Notamacropus eugenii: one gene and its partner. The protein of the gene in region 2 purifies or fractionates together with the protein of the main gene of each other region. This does not show direct contact. Links are inferred from orthologs where the notes say so. Each region holds a gene or a part of one and is shown on either strand. Other genes may lie near its edges.

What was found. The genes of interacting proteins can lie anywhere in the genome.
Region 1: the proteins of RHOD (region 2) and DIAPH2 purify together in Homo sapiens (co-immunoprecipitation; 3 studies listed by BioGRID and IntAct, with this or other methods). This does not show direct contact. The link is inferred for Notamacropus eugenii from reciprocal best matches to the Homo sapiens genes RHOD and DIAPH2.

What each region holds. Positions count from the first base shown.
Region 1 is NC_092879.1:88,993,544-89,000,996, forward strand, and holds the start of DIAPH2 (protein diaphanous homolog 2), read left to right. Parts: upstream 1-4,405; 5' UTR 4,406-4,439; coding exon 4,440-4,562; intron 4,563-7,453. UniProt on the Homo sapiens protein: Could be involved in oogenesis. Involved in the regulation of endosome dynamics.
Region 2 is NC_092873.1:19,533,738-19,541,679, forward strand, and holds the start of RHOD (rho-related GTP-binding protein RhoD), read left to right. Parts: upstream 1-4,848; 5' UTR 4,849-5,107; coding exon 5,108-5,236; intron 5,237-7,942. Other genes in the region: uncharacterized protein, read right to left, coding at 1-354, 939-1,004. UniProt on the Homo sapiens protein: Involved in endosome dynamics. May coordinate membrane transport with the function of the cytoskeleton. Involved in the internalization and trafficking of activated tyrosine kinase receptors such as PDGFRB.

The DNA of each region.
Region 1 (7,453 bases), on a different chromosome or scaffold from region 2:
ATTTATTAAGTGCCTACTATGTGACAGGCACTGTGTTAAATAGATGGGGAGGTAGAAGGTAAGAAATGAGTTCATCTCTTGATTGAGATGAATTATACTCCACATTATTAGGGGAGAAAACCCATGCAAATATGATTCCTAGAAGACTGAACTAGGTGATTTCATAAGCACTTTTAAACTAGCTTCTATGATTTTTGAATCATTCAACAATCACTTATTAAGGAAAGTCCTTATTCCAGGCATGAATATGCCAGGCACTGGGAATACAAAGATAGACCTTGACCTCAATGGGCTTACATTCATTTTTTTTCAAGTAATTTTAAAAATATCTTTTGTTTTTAATATCATTTAGATTTTTCTATTCCCCTCCCAGAGAGCTTTCCCATAAAAGAAATATTTTTAAAGGAAAAAAAAAGGATGAAGAGGAAAAAACAATTAGTAAGATCAATACACTGAAAAATAATCTGAAAATAGGGGGCAGAGCCAAGATAGCAGAGTAATAGCACTCACTTTCTAGAGCACTGCCCCCAAAGCCCAGTCAAATACCTGTCAAAAATGGCTCTAAACAAATTCTGGAGCTGCATAACCCAGAGAATGATGGAGTGAAGCAAATCCCCAGCCCAAGACAGCCTGAAAGGTCCCCAGGAAGTGTCTACTGTGGCACACTGGGGGCAGAGCGCGCAGTCCAGAGTGGGCACAGACAGAACCTGAGTAGTAGACCTTGGGGAGACTGAATTTCTCATGCCTGTGACAGTTTCCAGACTTCAGGACCCTAAAACGCCGAGGACAAATTGGAAGGTCAGTAGAAAAAGCCTGTGGGACCAATGTGGGAGAGTGGAGTGGTCCAGCCCTAGTCCCAGGGCAGCAGAGGGGGAAGGGGGGGAGGAACCCATAGCAGCCACAGCAGCAGAAAAGAGGGGATGGGAATAAGAGGGGTTGTTCTTCAGTTGTCCTTCTGGTTTACATTGGTGTAGTCATCTGTGCTGTTTTCCTGACTGCCAACAGTTCATGCTTCTCTGTATTCATCATATTCACCATTTCTTGCAGAAAAACATTAATCAAGAGGCTTACCTTCTAATGGGGAAAACAACATGTATGCAGATAAATATCTATGAAGTCCAAGAACTTTCTTGGAAGGGAGAACTGGAAGTTGGGGAGGGGGAATTAGAAAAGGCCTCATTTATGAAAGGGTGCTTGAACTGAGCTTGGAAAGAAGCTAGGGATTCTGGGAGGAAGGCATCATAAAGGGGAAGTCTAGCATATAACTGTTCCTGAATTAATTCAGGTGTTAATTTAATCACATTTCGTATCTCAAAATCAAGGAAGTGTTCAATATAATTAGAAAAGGAGGTGGCTGAACATGTAGTTAGAATGAGAGAGAACAGAAGGACATTCCCTATGCTGCAGCAGAGGAAGGCCTCCAATGCATTGGGCAGATCCTCTGTGGAAATGTGGGCACTTGAATTGTTCAGGATAAGGTGGTAGGTAGGTTTTCCAATTTACCCCATTGGAGGGAGTATTCCCATGGAGGAAAGGGCGGGTGGGGGTGGGGGGGGGGAAGAGAGAAGACTTGGTGATGTCATGGTTCCATTGAAGTATCTCCCCCAGCTCTGACACTTTTATATTCTCTAGAACCTAGACTACAGGGATCTATAAGGGAGAAGGAACCACAGAAGAAACCAAATAGGCCAGTAGTTTTGCATAACTTTATGGAATCCCAGCTGTGGGCGGTATCTCCTTTCTTCATACTGCCCTAAGGCTCAGGTACTTCTCTCTGCCCTAGCCTCTCTTTGTTTCCCAAGAAGGCAGAAATGAAAAGAGAGGCATGTAGGTGGGGCAAGGTTGTTTCTGAGACTCCAGATGAGGTGGTGCCAGTTGCAGAATCACCTGACTGTGTCCTTGCTAGAGAGCAGCAGTAACACTGGTGTTTTGGCTTCAGAGGTCAATGTCCCCCCTGTCTTGAAAGGGTTTTCATTGTTGACATTAAACAGAACAAAATACTGAAAAATAAACACCAAGAATTAAAAGAGCTAGGGGTTGAGTTTAAAGTAAAATACAAACACAATTGATCAGGAACATCTCTTTTCAGTTTATTCAAAAACAATCGAGTTCCTTTGAAGATGTCGATTATCCTGATAATATCAAACCCAAACAACAGAACTTTCAATCTGAAGCCATGTCACCTTTACATAAACTATACAACCATATCTGAATTGATGCCACTTGTGTCACAGTCCCTTCTGTTCCCATTTGATAACAAGGCCAAAGGATCCTAGAGATGCAGTGGCCTTCAGAAGCTATCTAATCAAGCCCATATCTGACTAGGAGCCCATCTCCTATACAGCTCTTGACTGAGCCAGTTCGCATTTAAATTCCTTCAGGGATGCGAAACTCAACATCTCCCCAGGAAGCCAATTGTACTTTTGGTGGGTTTCTTTAGATAGTTTTTTCTTACATTTTTGCAAGCGTAATCCATTATTCTGTATATATAAGTGGGGTGATCTGCCTGGTCTGCAGACCCCCCAGTTCAAAATCTATGTTAATTCAAGCTCGTTTTCCACTTCCCTTAAGCAGCTAGTTTGTTTATATGCATCTCATTTGTCCTCAGCAAATACTTATCAGACCAAGAGAGTTAATGCCCTCTCCTTGCTGACCTTCGAGCAGCACCCACTGTCAAAGCTTTTCTAGTTCAAGAAACAGTGTGGTTTGGTCAAAGTGGCAGGAATTGGACATGGCCGAGAAAGTTACATAACTTCTTAGAGTCTCAAGGTCTTCTGATCAATGGTGGGGATCTGTAGTATTTATCTGATAGGGTTGTTGAGAATCTGGTGAGACTGCGAAATGCCTTACAAACCTTAAGGTGCTGCATAAGTAGCAGTTATCTTGCACTTTTCTGGTAAAACCTTTGCGAGCTTGTATTCCACTGCATGGCACGATAAAACGTTAGAGGGGGACATGTTTAGACAGTACTTTGTGATTATCTGACACGTGATCTCCCTGTATTTGAATAAATAGGTACGTAGTGTCAATCTGTCTGGGCAATCAAGCAGCGAACTTTTATTAAGTGCCTAGCACTGTGCTGGGCTTACAAAAAGACCCAACTGCAAGCCTTTTGCTCTCAAAAGAGTTTACGTTCTACTGGATGGAAATGGACATATACAAAGGGATTAAAAACAAATATAAGGGGAATGTATGGGAGGAGGGGAAACATGCCTGAGGGATCAGGAGCTTGTGCAGAGGTTTGAAGGAAACTGGAGAGGTGGAGTGAATTTTAGGCTTGGGAGACAATCAACAAAAAGGCATAGAGACTGAAAATGGAGTGCTGTGTGTGAGAAACAGGGAAAAGGTCAATTCGGCTAGATCCTATGTATGCATGAGGAGGAGCCCTGTGTGATAAAGGCTGAAAAGGCAGGTCAGGGGCTTTAACAGGTAGAGGAATTTATTTGATCTTACAGGCCATAGGGGACCACTAGAGTTTACCGAGTACCAACAGGGAATGATATGGTTCGATTTGCACATTAGGAGTATGGGTTTGGCCATCGTGTTGATATTGGGAGTGGAGAGACTGTAAAGCCACGTTTCTGGTGACTTTCCAAGGGATACTAGTTGGGGAACCAATAACAGAACTAAGTTTGGAAGGGACTTTCGAGATCGTCTATTTCAATGACTTCATTTTTCATATAGGGGAAACTGAGTCCTAGGGCGGGCTAGTGAGTTGGTCAAGGTCACCCAAGGTAGTAAAGTCCGAGGTCATACAAGCAGTAGGTGGTCGAGGCCAGCTTCGAAGCAAATCTCTTTCCAGTTCACTACCTTGCCTTCCGAAAGCTCCTAAGCGTGGGTGGAGTGGGAGTCGAGGTGGCCCTGACCAGGCATGACCTCCCGCGCCTTCCCGGCTGTCAGCGCAACTTTTGCCTCCTCCGTCGGCCTCCGCTTCCCCATCCGAAGGATGGGCTCCTCCCCCGGGTCAGCGCCTCCCCGCGCCTTCCCTCCCCCTCCCCCGCTCGCTGTCCCGTCCCCGGGAAGTGCCAGGCGCACTCTGAGAGGCGGAGGGCGGGCGCCGGACGGCAGGACCAACAGCCGGCGGCCGGACAGGCGGACGGGCGGGCAGCGCGGCTCGGGCGGCGCGGCTCTAGCCGTGCCGGGCATGCTCAGTAGCGCGGCCCGACTCAGCGGCGGAGTCGGAAGCTGTGCTTTCCCCGGCCGGGCGCCTGACAGCGGCTCCCCGGCCGCCTCGCAAGTGCCGAGGCCCTCCTAGAACCACCGGCGCCCCTCGGCCGTCCTCCTAGGAGAGCGGCGCGGCTCGGCGCGGGGGTTCGCCCGACGCCCCGGGGCCCGAGGGCGGCGGCCGCGCCCCCAGGGGCGGGCCGGGCGGGGTCGGGAGGCGAGCTCGGCTCAGGGCGGGGCGGGGTGCGGGGCGCAGGTGACCGGGGCCGGGAAAGATGGAGCAGCCCGGGACGGCGGCGGGCCCCGGCGGCGAGGAGCCCGGCGGCGGCCGGAGCGGCAAGCGAAGCACTGGGGGCCGGGCCGCCGGCGACGAGGAGACCAAGAACAAGCCCAAGCTGGTGAGTGTGCCCTGCCCGGGGGGGTGGGGGTGGGGCGGGGGGGAGGGGAGCCCCCGGGATCGCCGCGCGCGAGGCTTCCCCCCCACCGTCCGCGGGGGAGGGGGGCGGGCGGAGCCCCCGAAGGAGCGGGCGCGCGGGTGTGTGCCTGTGCGCGTGCCCGCCCGCGCCCGCGCCCACTGTCCGCCCACCCCTCTTTGTAGCTGCTGCTTGTCACCGAGCTTGGGGAGGGGGAGCCCCCCGGGAACCTCTCCGATGTCTCCCTTCCTCCTCCCCCCTTCCTTCTCTGCTCTCCCAGAACTTGCCAGAGCAGCCGTCCACACACGCTTGTGTCTGCCTCCCTCTCCTTACTTTTCTCTTTCTTTCCTTCGCTCCTGTTCTCACTTTAGTTACCCCCTTTCCCCTGGTGCGGTTGGGCACCAGTCGTGAGGAGCCCTGGCAGCGGGGGTGGGTGGGGTTCTCGTGGGCCGCCAACAGAAAGTTTGAGAGCCCCTGGCAGCCGGCTCCAAGTTTGAGTGGCTGCAGCCACTTCCTGCCGCTGCCCGAGGAAAGGAAGGGATCGTGTTGGGCAATCGTGCAGCAGCTTCCCCCTACACCCTGCCCTTGTTGGAGGGCGAGCCTGGGCCTCCCTTGTGACTCAGTCCGCACAGGAAGGAGGCGACGCTGGAAGTTTGGAGTTGATAGTAACTTGTCAGTTAACATCATTGGAGGAGAATTGGATAGGGTCACTCCGTTTGGACATTTAGAGATTTCGTACACATCCATCCTCCATACAGTGTGTTCTTTGATTTACTTCACATTTTCCTGGGAGCTTTATAACTGTGAAGTAGATACCTGGGCCGACATGTAGTCAATAAGCATTTCTGAAGCACACATTTAGACTCTGTTAAGCATGTAGGGTTAGGCCAAAGACAGCCCCTGCCCTCACTTGCCAACCTAACGGGGGAGCCTACCAGCAAACAATGTACAAACTTTATATGGAATGAATAGGAAATAATGAGCAGGAGGAAGACCCTGGAATTGAGAAAGGTAGGGAAAGGCTACCTGTGGAAGGAAGCTGGAATTTTAGGTGGGACCTGAGGGAAGCCAGAAGTGGAGATGACAGACAGTACTTCACTCCTGGGGAACCGCCAAAGAAAATGACCAAGCCAAGAGATAGAGGCATCTTCCTTTATTCCTGCACACCTTCTACTACATAGTGCTCTACAGAGAGGCCTCCATCTGAGCTGGCATATAGACACTGAGTAGGGCAGCAGCTAGAATTTGAACACTCATCTCCTTGACCCCATCTCTAACTCTTGGTCAACTGCAGTAGCTTGCATGTGAGAAGCCATTTCCATAACTGCTTGCTTCATCTGAAAAGATAATGGAAGATGTCATCTGGCTTGCCACAGAAACCCACCTGCATTTTTCTTGAGCCAATTTTTCTGTCATGGTTGGCAGTGAGTGAGATGTGTTTCCCCCACTTTTTTTCCAAAACAAGGGAGGTGCATTTGATCAACTCTTGTCCAAGATAGGTCACTAAATACTTGGTATTTGTCTTCATTCTCATATTTTTAGTATGACTTTTTTAGTCATTGTGAATATTCTAATTCTCCTTGATTCAGCCTGTATCAGTCATGGGAATTTCCTCATGCTTCTCTAAATTCATCTTAATGACTTTACTTTGCACAGTGATATTCATTACATCCATACACCACAATTTCTTCAGCCTTTCCTCAATCAGTGAGCACCCACTTTGTTTTTTTCCAACTCTGATACAGAAACAAATTCTGTTCTGAGTTGCACAAACTCTGTAAATGACTCATCTCAGCCAGCAAGCTTTGCTTGAATTGGTTTTTGTTTGGCTCCTATCTAGTTCGGTGCCGTTTGAACCTCTCTGTAATATCTGCGTAAAGGAAACTTCCAGGTTTTGTGTGAGGGGCTTACCAGAGCCTGGTGACTTTTGGAGGGTGTGTGTTGGAAGGCATGCTGGATCAGGAGTCAGAGCCTCTGGATTCCCATAATACATACTGTATTACATGTGTGACTTTGGGCATGTCACTTAAAACTGACCTAGGCCCTTTCCCCTTTTCACTTCCTCTTGTATAGAATGAGAGGGTGAGGCTCAATGCCCTCAGGTTCCTTATAGCTCTAAATCAATCAGCCTACAAGTTCTGCTCTTCTGCATTTGTAGTAATGTTGGTCATTTGGGTTTTGCTAGAATGCTAGAACTACCTTTTTACCTAACCTTAAAAATTCTTTAGTAGTTGCAAATAATTGGTCAGGCCATTTAAGGAGAAGCTTTTGCTTTTAAGAAGCCTGCTGTCAAGGAAAAGTGTTTCTCTTTGTTGGTAATAGCACCTCAATTCTGTTCTTAACTCCCTTTGGCTTTTTGTCCTGTTTCATCTTGTATGTTTCACTTGTCTTAGACAAAGAAAGACATAGATCTGTGGTGGTAAAACTAGCTATTAGCAGGATGTGATAGTGTCTGCTCTGGCTCCCATTGGTCTTTAAACTATCCCATATGGAGCACTGCTTTAAGCAAGGAGACACTGTTGTTACTATATAATTTTTAAATTTCTTTTTTCTTAGACTAAATGTAAGTTAAGCAGCATAAAAAATTGAACGGTATATCTTAAAAGCCAAGTGGGCAAAGCAAATAAAAACAAACCTATGAGAACAACATATTATAGATAAAAGACTTGTGACTTTTTGGGGAAACATTTAATTTCTTTAGTGTTGAAAGGCAAGCAGGAAATAGTGGATAGAAACTTGGGCTACAAGCTGGGAGTGTTCAAGTCCTTCCTCTGACAGGCACTTGCCCTGTGTAAACCTAGGCAAGTCATTTAGCCATGCACAGCTATGGACAACCAACTGTTTGCAGAGAAAGTAGTCACTTGCATTGGTGAAGA
Region 2 (7,942 bases):
CTGGGAGCTTGGCTTCTCTGTGATGCGGGTGTCACTGCCCGGGTCCTCAGTGTCCCCCTCTGTAAGTTCTCCGGTGACCTCTCGGGTCCTGGGACGCCCCGGGGGGCAGAGGAAGAAGTCTAGGAGAAAGTAGCCTTCCTGGGGGAGATGGGCTCCACAGCCCCTTTTCCGCAGCGCAGGGGAGGGGACACGCCCTGGTGCTGCCCGGAGACGGCTGACGCCCCGGGCTGGCAGTTGATTGGCTGCAGAGCCTGCGCCAATGGCGTGGCCACCTGCGCTCCGCAGGGAGGCCTGACGCCTTCTTCGCCTAGCAACATCCAACCGCTTACCGAGCCCACGAGGTTTCTGGGCGATCTGCAAAGAGCCGAGTCATCCCTGCAAAGTGTGGGGGGGGGGGGGGGGGGGGGCTCGAGCGCTGCCCGCCCCCGCAAAGCTGGGAGCAGAAGGGCATGGGCTAGGGGGCGGGGGGCGCAGCTGGGCTGGGGGGGCATCTGGGCTAGGGGCGGGGGGGGCAGCTGGGCTAGGGGCGGGGGGGGGCAGCTGGGTGGGGGGGCATCTGGGCTAGGGGCGGGGGGGGCAGCTGGGTGGGGGGGCATCTGGGCTAGGGGCTGGGGGGGCATCTGGGCTAGGGGCGGGGGGGGGGCAGCTGGGCTGGGGGGGCATCTGGGCTGGGGGGGCATCTGGGCTAGGGGCGGGGGGGGGCATCTGGGCTGGGGGGGCATCTGGGCTAGGGGCGGGAGGGGGCATCTGGGCTGGGGGGGCATCTGGGCTAGGGGGCGGGGGGGGGGCAGTTGGGCGGGGGGGGGCATCTGGGCTAGGGGCGGGGTGGGGGGGGGCAGGGGGAAAGCCTGGATCCAAACAATGGACAATGGCTCCTGGAACTCGCCTGCATTTGCCTGCCCCCCCACCCCTCCACCCCAGGCTTCTTGGCCTCTGACCTCTTCTGGTGTTAAATAAATGTCTTCCAATAGAGGAGCAGGTGAAGACCGCCCTAGTAGAGGCGCCTGACGAGAAAGGTTCAGGGCCATTTCGGCAGAGCTCGAATTCAGATCCGAACAGCTGCAGCAGCACGCGGCCCTAGCTAACACCGATGCCTGCCTCTGGGTCACATGGCCCACTGTCCCATCTCCCACCTCCACACCTTTGCATAGCAGCCCACCAGCCAGAGGGAGCCCCATCTTCAGTCAGAGCCCAGCCGAATGCCGGGCCCTGAAGGACATGCCATGCTTATGTCGGTTCGGGGATAGAGCATCACCCCCACCTCTTTGAGCGTTCTGAGAAGCTAGGGTGAGGGACTTGTCCAGGTTCACAGGGACAGCCTAATTCCGGGGTGGGATGGAAACGGCGGCTTCCGGGCCTTAAGGCTGCCTCGGTCATCGGCTCCCTCTCACCCTGCACTGATTGATTTCACTCCCCTCACCCCCTCCATCTTCCCTCCCCCAATTCCTTCAGGCCTAACGCTCGATTGTATCAGCATTGCCCCGCTATCCGACCCGACTTTAGGTCACCCTGCCCTGGCTCCTGCTTGCCAATTGTCTTTCCTACGGAGGGCGTGGATCATGGAAGGTGGACTCCAGGAGAGGTACCCCCACAAACGATCTTCCTTTTTTTGAGGGTAGATATAACCTTTAAAAGACCAAAGCTCAGACCCGGATCTCCTTATGTGCCTCTTCTTGCAGCCGGCTATGAATGCCACCTCCAAGAAGAGCCCACCGCCCACGGTGGAGCATGGAGTGTGGCACCACCCCGGAACCTTTGTGGAGGGACTAACCTTATTAGGTCTGGCCTGGGCACCAATACACCCCACGAGGAGCCGTGGTGTCCTGCCCCATAATCCACAAGTAAACAAGTTACTGAACTTAGACAGACCTTGGTTCCTGGGGTACCACCAATGCGTTTGCCCACCTCCTGAAAACAACTTCAGGGAACCGGCCTGGCACCCATGGGAAGCTCTTGGCCAATCAGGGCAAGAGGGACTTGTGCAGAGATTTCCCCAGGCGCCCAACGTGGGCTTAGGAAGGTGACTCATCACTTTCTCTGGAGGCTGGACTGAGCAAAAGGGTGTTGGTGCCAGGGCTGAGCTGGGCACACCTGGGCTATGCCAGGTGCTGGCCCCACCCTCCAGGTGCCTTCTGAGCCAGAAGTGGCCCAATGAACAGGGAAGTTTGGGCTCTGACAACTTGGCCCAGGCAGAGCCAGACTTTACATGCATGTCATGTCCCCTCCCCCCAACTCAATAAACCCCAGTGGCTCCTGATCACCTCCAGCGATAAAAATCAAATCAAATCCTCCGGCTTTCAACATCCTTCACAATCTGCCCTCCTTTCCAGCCTTCTTACACCCCCACCCCCACCCCATGTATTCTTCAGCTCAGTGACACTGGCTGCCTGGCTGTGCCCCTTGTCTGGGACTGTCTCCGTCCTTATCCCCCTTCCTGACTTCCTTCAAGTACCAGCTTACATCCTACCTTCTCCAGGAAACCTTTCCTCATTCCCTCTTAATTCAGCTGCAGTTGATCCCGTAGACCTTGCTTGTGTGTTGTGAATTTAATCATCTTTTCTGTCTGGATGATTTGCACATCCCCCTCTGCAGCACAACCTCAGACCCAGGCCCTGTCTCCACTACCTCCCTGGAACACGGTGGGGGTGTGTGTGTGGGGAACAATACAAGAAACCCTAGCTCCAGAGGACCTCTGATACCCACGGTGTGACATTGGGCAAGTCACATGACCGGCCTGGGCCTCAGTTTCAAACTGTAAAATCGGGGCATTGAATTCAATGACTTTTGAAGTCCCTTCCAGGGCTATATCCAAAGAAACTGAGGCTCCCAACATTGAGGGGAAAGGACTTGGACAAGATAACAGCTCATTAGCTGAAAGCATCAGACCTGGAATCTAGATCTTTCGGATGTCTAGTCCAAGGCTCATACCGGGAAGTGTTCTGAGAACAATGTGGGAAGCACAGACCTCTGCTCTGTGAATTACCTGGTCAGCTGAGGGGAACTGGGGTGCAGCTTGGGGCAGTCAGAGAGCAGAGCAAGTTCTTCCCCCCACCATCCTAGGCCAGGGAAAGGGCCAGCACCCTCCTGTCAGCCCCATTACAACGATGGGTCACTGCTCAGGCTCACTGGAAGATGACCAATACCTACTCCTAGAGTACTTTTAGGTTTTATTTAAGTGCTTTCCTCCATGGTATTCTAAGTATTTTACTAAAAAGGAAACTGAGGCTTTGTGAGATGAGGCTCACACTGGCCTGTGGTCATGCACTTGGTGTATATCTGAGCTGGTCTTCCCCCTACAGCCCATGGCCTGCTTGGCTATATGATAAACTAGGGTAGGGCATCTGGGGTTTGCCAAAAGTGCTGTCTCCAGGAGGCCCTTTGAAAATGCACACTGACAACTCTCAGGGACTTGGAGACAGCAGGCCTATGAGCACTGTAGACAGAATTCTGAGATGGGCCAACCACTCTGGAAAGCCATTTGGAATTATGCAGTGGGAGGGGATTAAATGTCCACACCCCTGAACCCAGAGATCCCGGGGAGACTTACACACAGACTTCAGAGGAGGTCAGAGGCACAAGAAGGGCCTCTCAGACACAGAATATTCAGGGCACCACATCTTGTACTAGCAAAAGGAGATACCCCAGACTACAGAATGGGTCGGTTTTTGCTGAACTGCTTTTTACCTACTTTAAAATCTTTGTTAAAAGGGATGGAGGAAGGAGATTTTCAGAAGTGATTATGACATAAAAGGAAATTGGATAAGAAAAATAAGATTAACCTTACAAGTAAGAAAGAGGCAGCGTGGTGTGATGGGTAGAGAGCTGGCCTCAGAGTCAGGCAAATTGGCTGTGTGACCCTGGGCAATTCACTAAACTTCTCTGGGCTCTAAGAACTATGGAGATTATTGGTATCAAAGAAGGTATTGCTCACTGGGAGGAGTTTCCTATAACCATTAAGTCACTGGTCCCGTCATCAAGTTGTCCTTCCCTCCCTTCCTCCCTGCTCCTGGTAAAAGAGGCCGAGACTGCTAGGGCAGAGTGATGTAGACGCTGGCCGGTGAGATCACCTTATCAGTTATTTCTGCTTAACTGGTTTCTTAGATACAAGGGAGGGGTCAGTTCCTGGGTGTGTGTGTAGATTTCTAGAAATGACAAAATACTTCAATAAAACCTTTAACAAAGTTACATGCAGTTCATCTAAATGCCTCATTGGAAAGTGAAGGGTAGTAGGGTGGGGGAGGGTGGCAAGGCTGGGGAGGAGGAACCCTTCCCATCCCACAGGCTGATGGGAGGAAAGCATCATCCTGGTGTGGGGTCCCCAGTCTGGCTGATCCCGCCAGCTAGACAGGATTGGCCCGGCAGAGCTCACTGAAGGGACCCCTCCCCAGGACGGTGGTCACTAGCCCCAGTGATGGATAAAACTACCTTGGGGGGACATTTGGGGGTGGAGAGGGAAGGCCCTCCCACTCCCTGAAATCCTTCTTGCTCTGCTTGGGTGAAGGGGCTCATTCTGAGAGCCTGTGGATACCTCCAGTCTCCTCTGTAGTAAAATGAGTTTTGGGAGGGCAGAAATGAGAAGAGGCTTCAGACCCCCTCTAACATCCCCTCCCCAGGTATCTTAGCACGAGCCACTGGGCTTCTTCAGGCCCCACTTTTCTCTTGTCAAACGAGAGAGTGGGACTAGGTAGCCTCTTGGCTGGAGCTAGGATCTTCAGAGTGGGCCACACCTTAACCCTGACTGTCTCTAGATGTCACACACAGCTCACCCAAGCGTTCTCCAGCTTCCTGGCTTCCTCTAGGTGGTGCCGCCCCTTCCACATTCCTGAGCTCACACACCTGCAGCCTTCCGGGCCTGTCACAGAGGGGTTGGGCCAGGGCGAGAGCTGTGTGGCTCAGTGACTGTGGCCTTCTCCAGAGAGCAGTCAGGCACCCACTGGCCCTGCAGTCTCCCAGCTCTAGGAGGCAGAGAGAGGATCGAGAGGAGTTCCCAGACAGGGCGAGAGGTAGCCTGACAGTCCTTCCGCCACATCCTTCCAAAGAGATGCCTGCTGAGCTGGACAGGGCCTTTTGAAGGACAGGGTCTCCGACTAGCACAGAGGCCGGCGGCATGCAAAGGGACGACGAGCCCCAGCCTTTGGACCCAGCTGTTCCTACCATCAAGGTGGTCCTGGTGGGTGATGGGGGGTGCGGCAAGACGTCTCTACTGATGGTCTTCGCCAAGGGAAAGTTCCCTGAGGTGAGTCCTGACTTCCATACAGCTGGGTACACACGGATACATATGCCTTGTCCCCTCCTCACATTCACACATCTTCCTCCCCAACCTTCTCCTAAGAGATCCTAGAGGGGAAATGCGCCAGGGGGTGTGTGGGGACCTTCCCAAGCTCTGTTCACTTTCTTGCTGATGGGAGGCAGGACTTCTGCAGGGTGAATGAGTGACCCAAGCAGTTTGCCTCAGCTTGGCATGTTCAGGGTTTGATGCAGAAAGGCCCAGGCTGGCCTCAGTTCCTTCCCCTTCTGCTGCTCTCCCCAGCCGGTCCTTCAAAGACTAACTCAGAACCAGCTGAGACAACATTTCACCAGCCCCTGTTCTAGCCTCTTCTACCCATCTGAACTCCCTTCCAGATCAGCCCCTCACTCACCCCAAGAGCTTTTCCTTGATGCCCTGGCTGGGCTGTCCTTTGTTCACCTGGGATACAGTAATAATGCTACTGTTAATAGCACTGACATAGCCCTTTGGGGTTTGCAAAGCTTTCCCTGGATTATCTCAGGATCCCGATATGATTGCGTCCACTTTACAGATAAGGAAACTGAGGCTGAGAGAGGGACGTGATTTGCCCTGGGTCACACAGCTAGGAAGGGGAAGGATGTAGTATCTGAACCAGGTCTTTCCAGCTGCAAGTACAGCGCACTTCCCACTGGCCAACCCAGCTGTAGCTCTTTTCATCTCTAAACTGAGTGCTCACGTTCCATTGATTTTCTGGTTTACAAATGTCCTTTATACATGATCTTGTTTCAACACTTTACTGTTTAGCAAACACCATGCTGGCATCTAGGCCAAGTGGGCACTGAGCCTGGGCCTCAGGCAAAGGGAGTTACTGCCCGCGGGGAGCTCCCTGTCTAACCACAGGCTTATCTTCTCTTTGTCCTGAACCCCCACCTAAGCTGCAGCCTACCTCCACTTCCTCCCAGGATCCCAAGGGCCACCAGGGGGAGTGATCGGAGCATCCTGACCACAAATGCCAACCTGGCAGATCATGGGCATCATAGGCGAGAGGCAGGGGTTAGAGCTGGGGTTTCACTGGCAAAGGGATCTCTCAGATGAGCAAACCCTCTCCACTGCCACAGGTTGGCACCTTCTCTGGAGCCACAATGATGGGACACAGTTTATAAGGCAGGTAAGGGAGGCGTCCTTGTGTAAAATGCTGTGTGTGTATTCATCCTTTGTTGCCGAAGAAGACCAGGCCATCAGAGAAATGATGACATGACTTGCACTTGACTTTGTTTTGAGTGAGGGAGGGCTGTGCAGGTCACCAGCCTCACTTCTCCTCCAGAGCCATCTGAATCCAGTGACCAGATATTCATCAGGATGACTGGACATGACCCAGGATGAGGCAATTGGGGTTAAGTGACTTGCCCAAGGTCACACAGCTAGTGAGTGTCAAGTGTCTGAGGTGAGATTTGAACTCAGGTTCTCCTGACTCCTGCACTGGTGCTCTATCCACTGCACCACCTAGCTGCCCGGAACAGAAAGACTGAGGGAAGGAGCCTCAGGGAAGGAAGGGAGGGGCTCTCTTTCCTCCAGGCCCAAACCTCACCAACAGCCTCAAGCCCTGGAGGACAATGGTGGAAAGTTGAACCCTTCCCAGTCTGGCTCCCTTCTATTTTTCCAGTCTTATTTCATATTTCATTATATATGATGTATGATGCCTTTCATTTTGACATCATGTTCATTCACAAATATAGCCTTCCTTTCTCCTCCTCCCTATCAAGGTTTCCTTTTGATAAATATTAAAAAGAAAAAAAAAACCTTTTCAGCAAAGCTAACAAAATGGTTGTATCTGCTAGGATATGCACTACTCCACACCCATAGTCCCCCATCTCTTCAATGAATTTATAGGATCCTAAGGCTAGAAGTGATTACACTGGGAAGGTCTTTAATCAGATGAGGACCATGGGAGTAATGGACCCCAAATCAGAGAGCTTTTTACTGGCCCACTCTACCTTCTTCATCACCCATGTATTCTTCAGCTGCTCTGGACATGACATTCCATCTCTGGCCTCCAGACCTTTATCCAGACTGTGCTCTAAGTGAAGAATGTGGTCCCTGCTCCTTTCCTGCCCCTCTAATTCTCTCTTGTCTTGGCTTTGCTGAGGCTAGGCTGCTGCTTCTTGCCATGCAGGCCCATCTACCCTCTGTGAATTTCAGCACCAGAACCCCTGGGTTGGGGGGGATGGGACTAGACAGCTCCTGCAGGAAGGTTCTGTTTCCCTGGGGATGGGGAGTGGGAGGGTGCCATGGCCCAGCTCTCCAAAGGCCTGCCTGAGCCTGAGGGAATTCTCCTAGAATCAGAGCCAGGCCCTGTGCCCCTCCCCCTCCCCCCCAGAACCCTCCTCTGAGTGACCTGGGAGAAGGAGGAGGGGCTCTGGCCCTCTAGCTCCTGAGTGGATCAGATCAGCTCATCATCACTTTCACACTCCTGGGGAGGCACTGATGGAGAAGTGGGGGAACGCTCCGGTCTAGGAAACAGAGATGAGGACATCTTGGGGAAGCCAGCCCAGGCCTCTGATCACTGAGCTCTCTCAGCCACCTTGTGCTTGCCCCTCTATCACAAGGTCTGCGTCCCAGTCTCATTCCCTCACTAGATTGAGTCCCAGGAATATTCTTGTTTCTCTATTTTCCCATCTGAGCACCTTGATACAAAAGGGAGATTTTGTCTGAGGC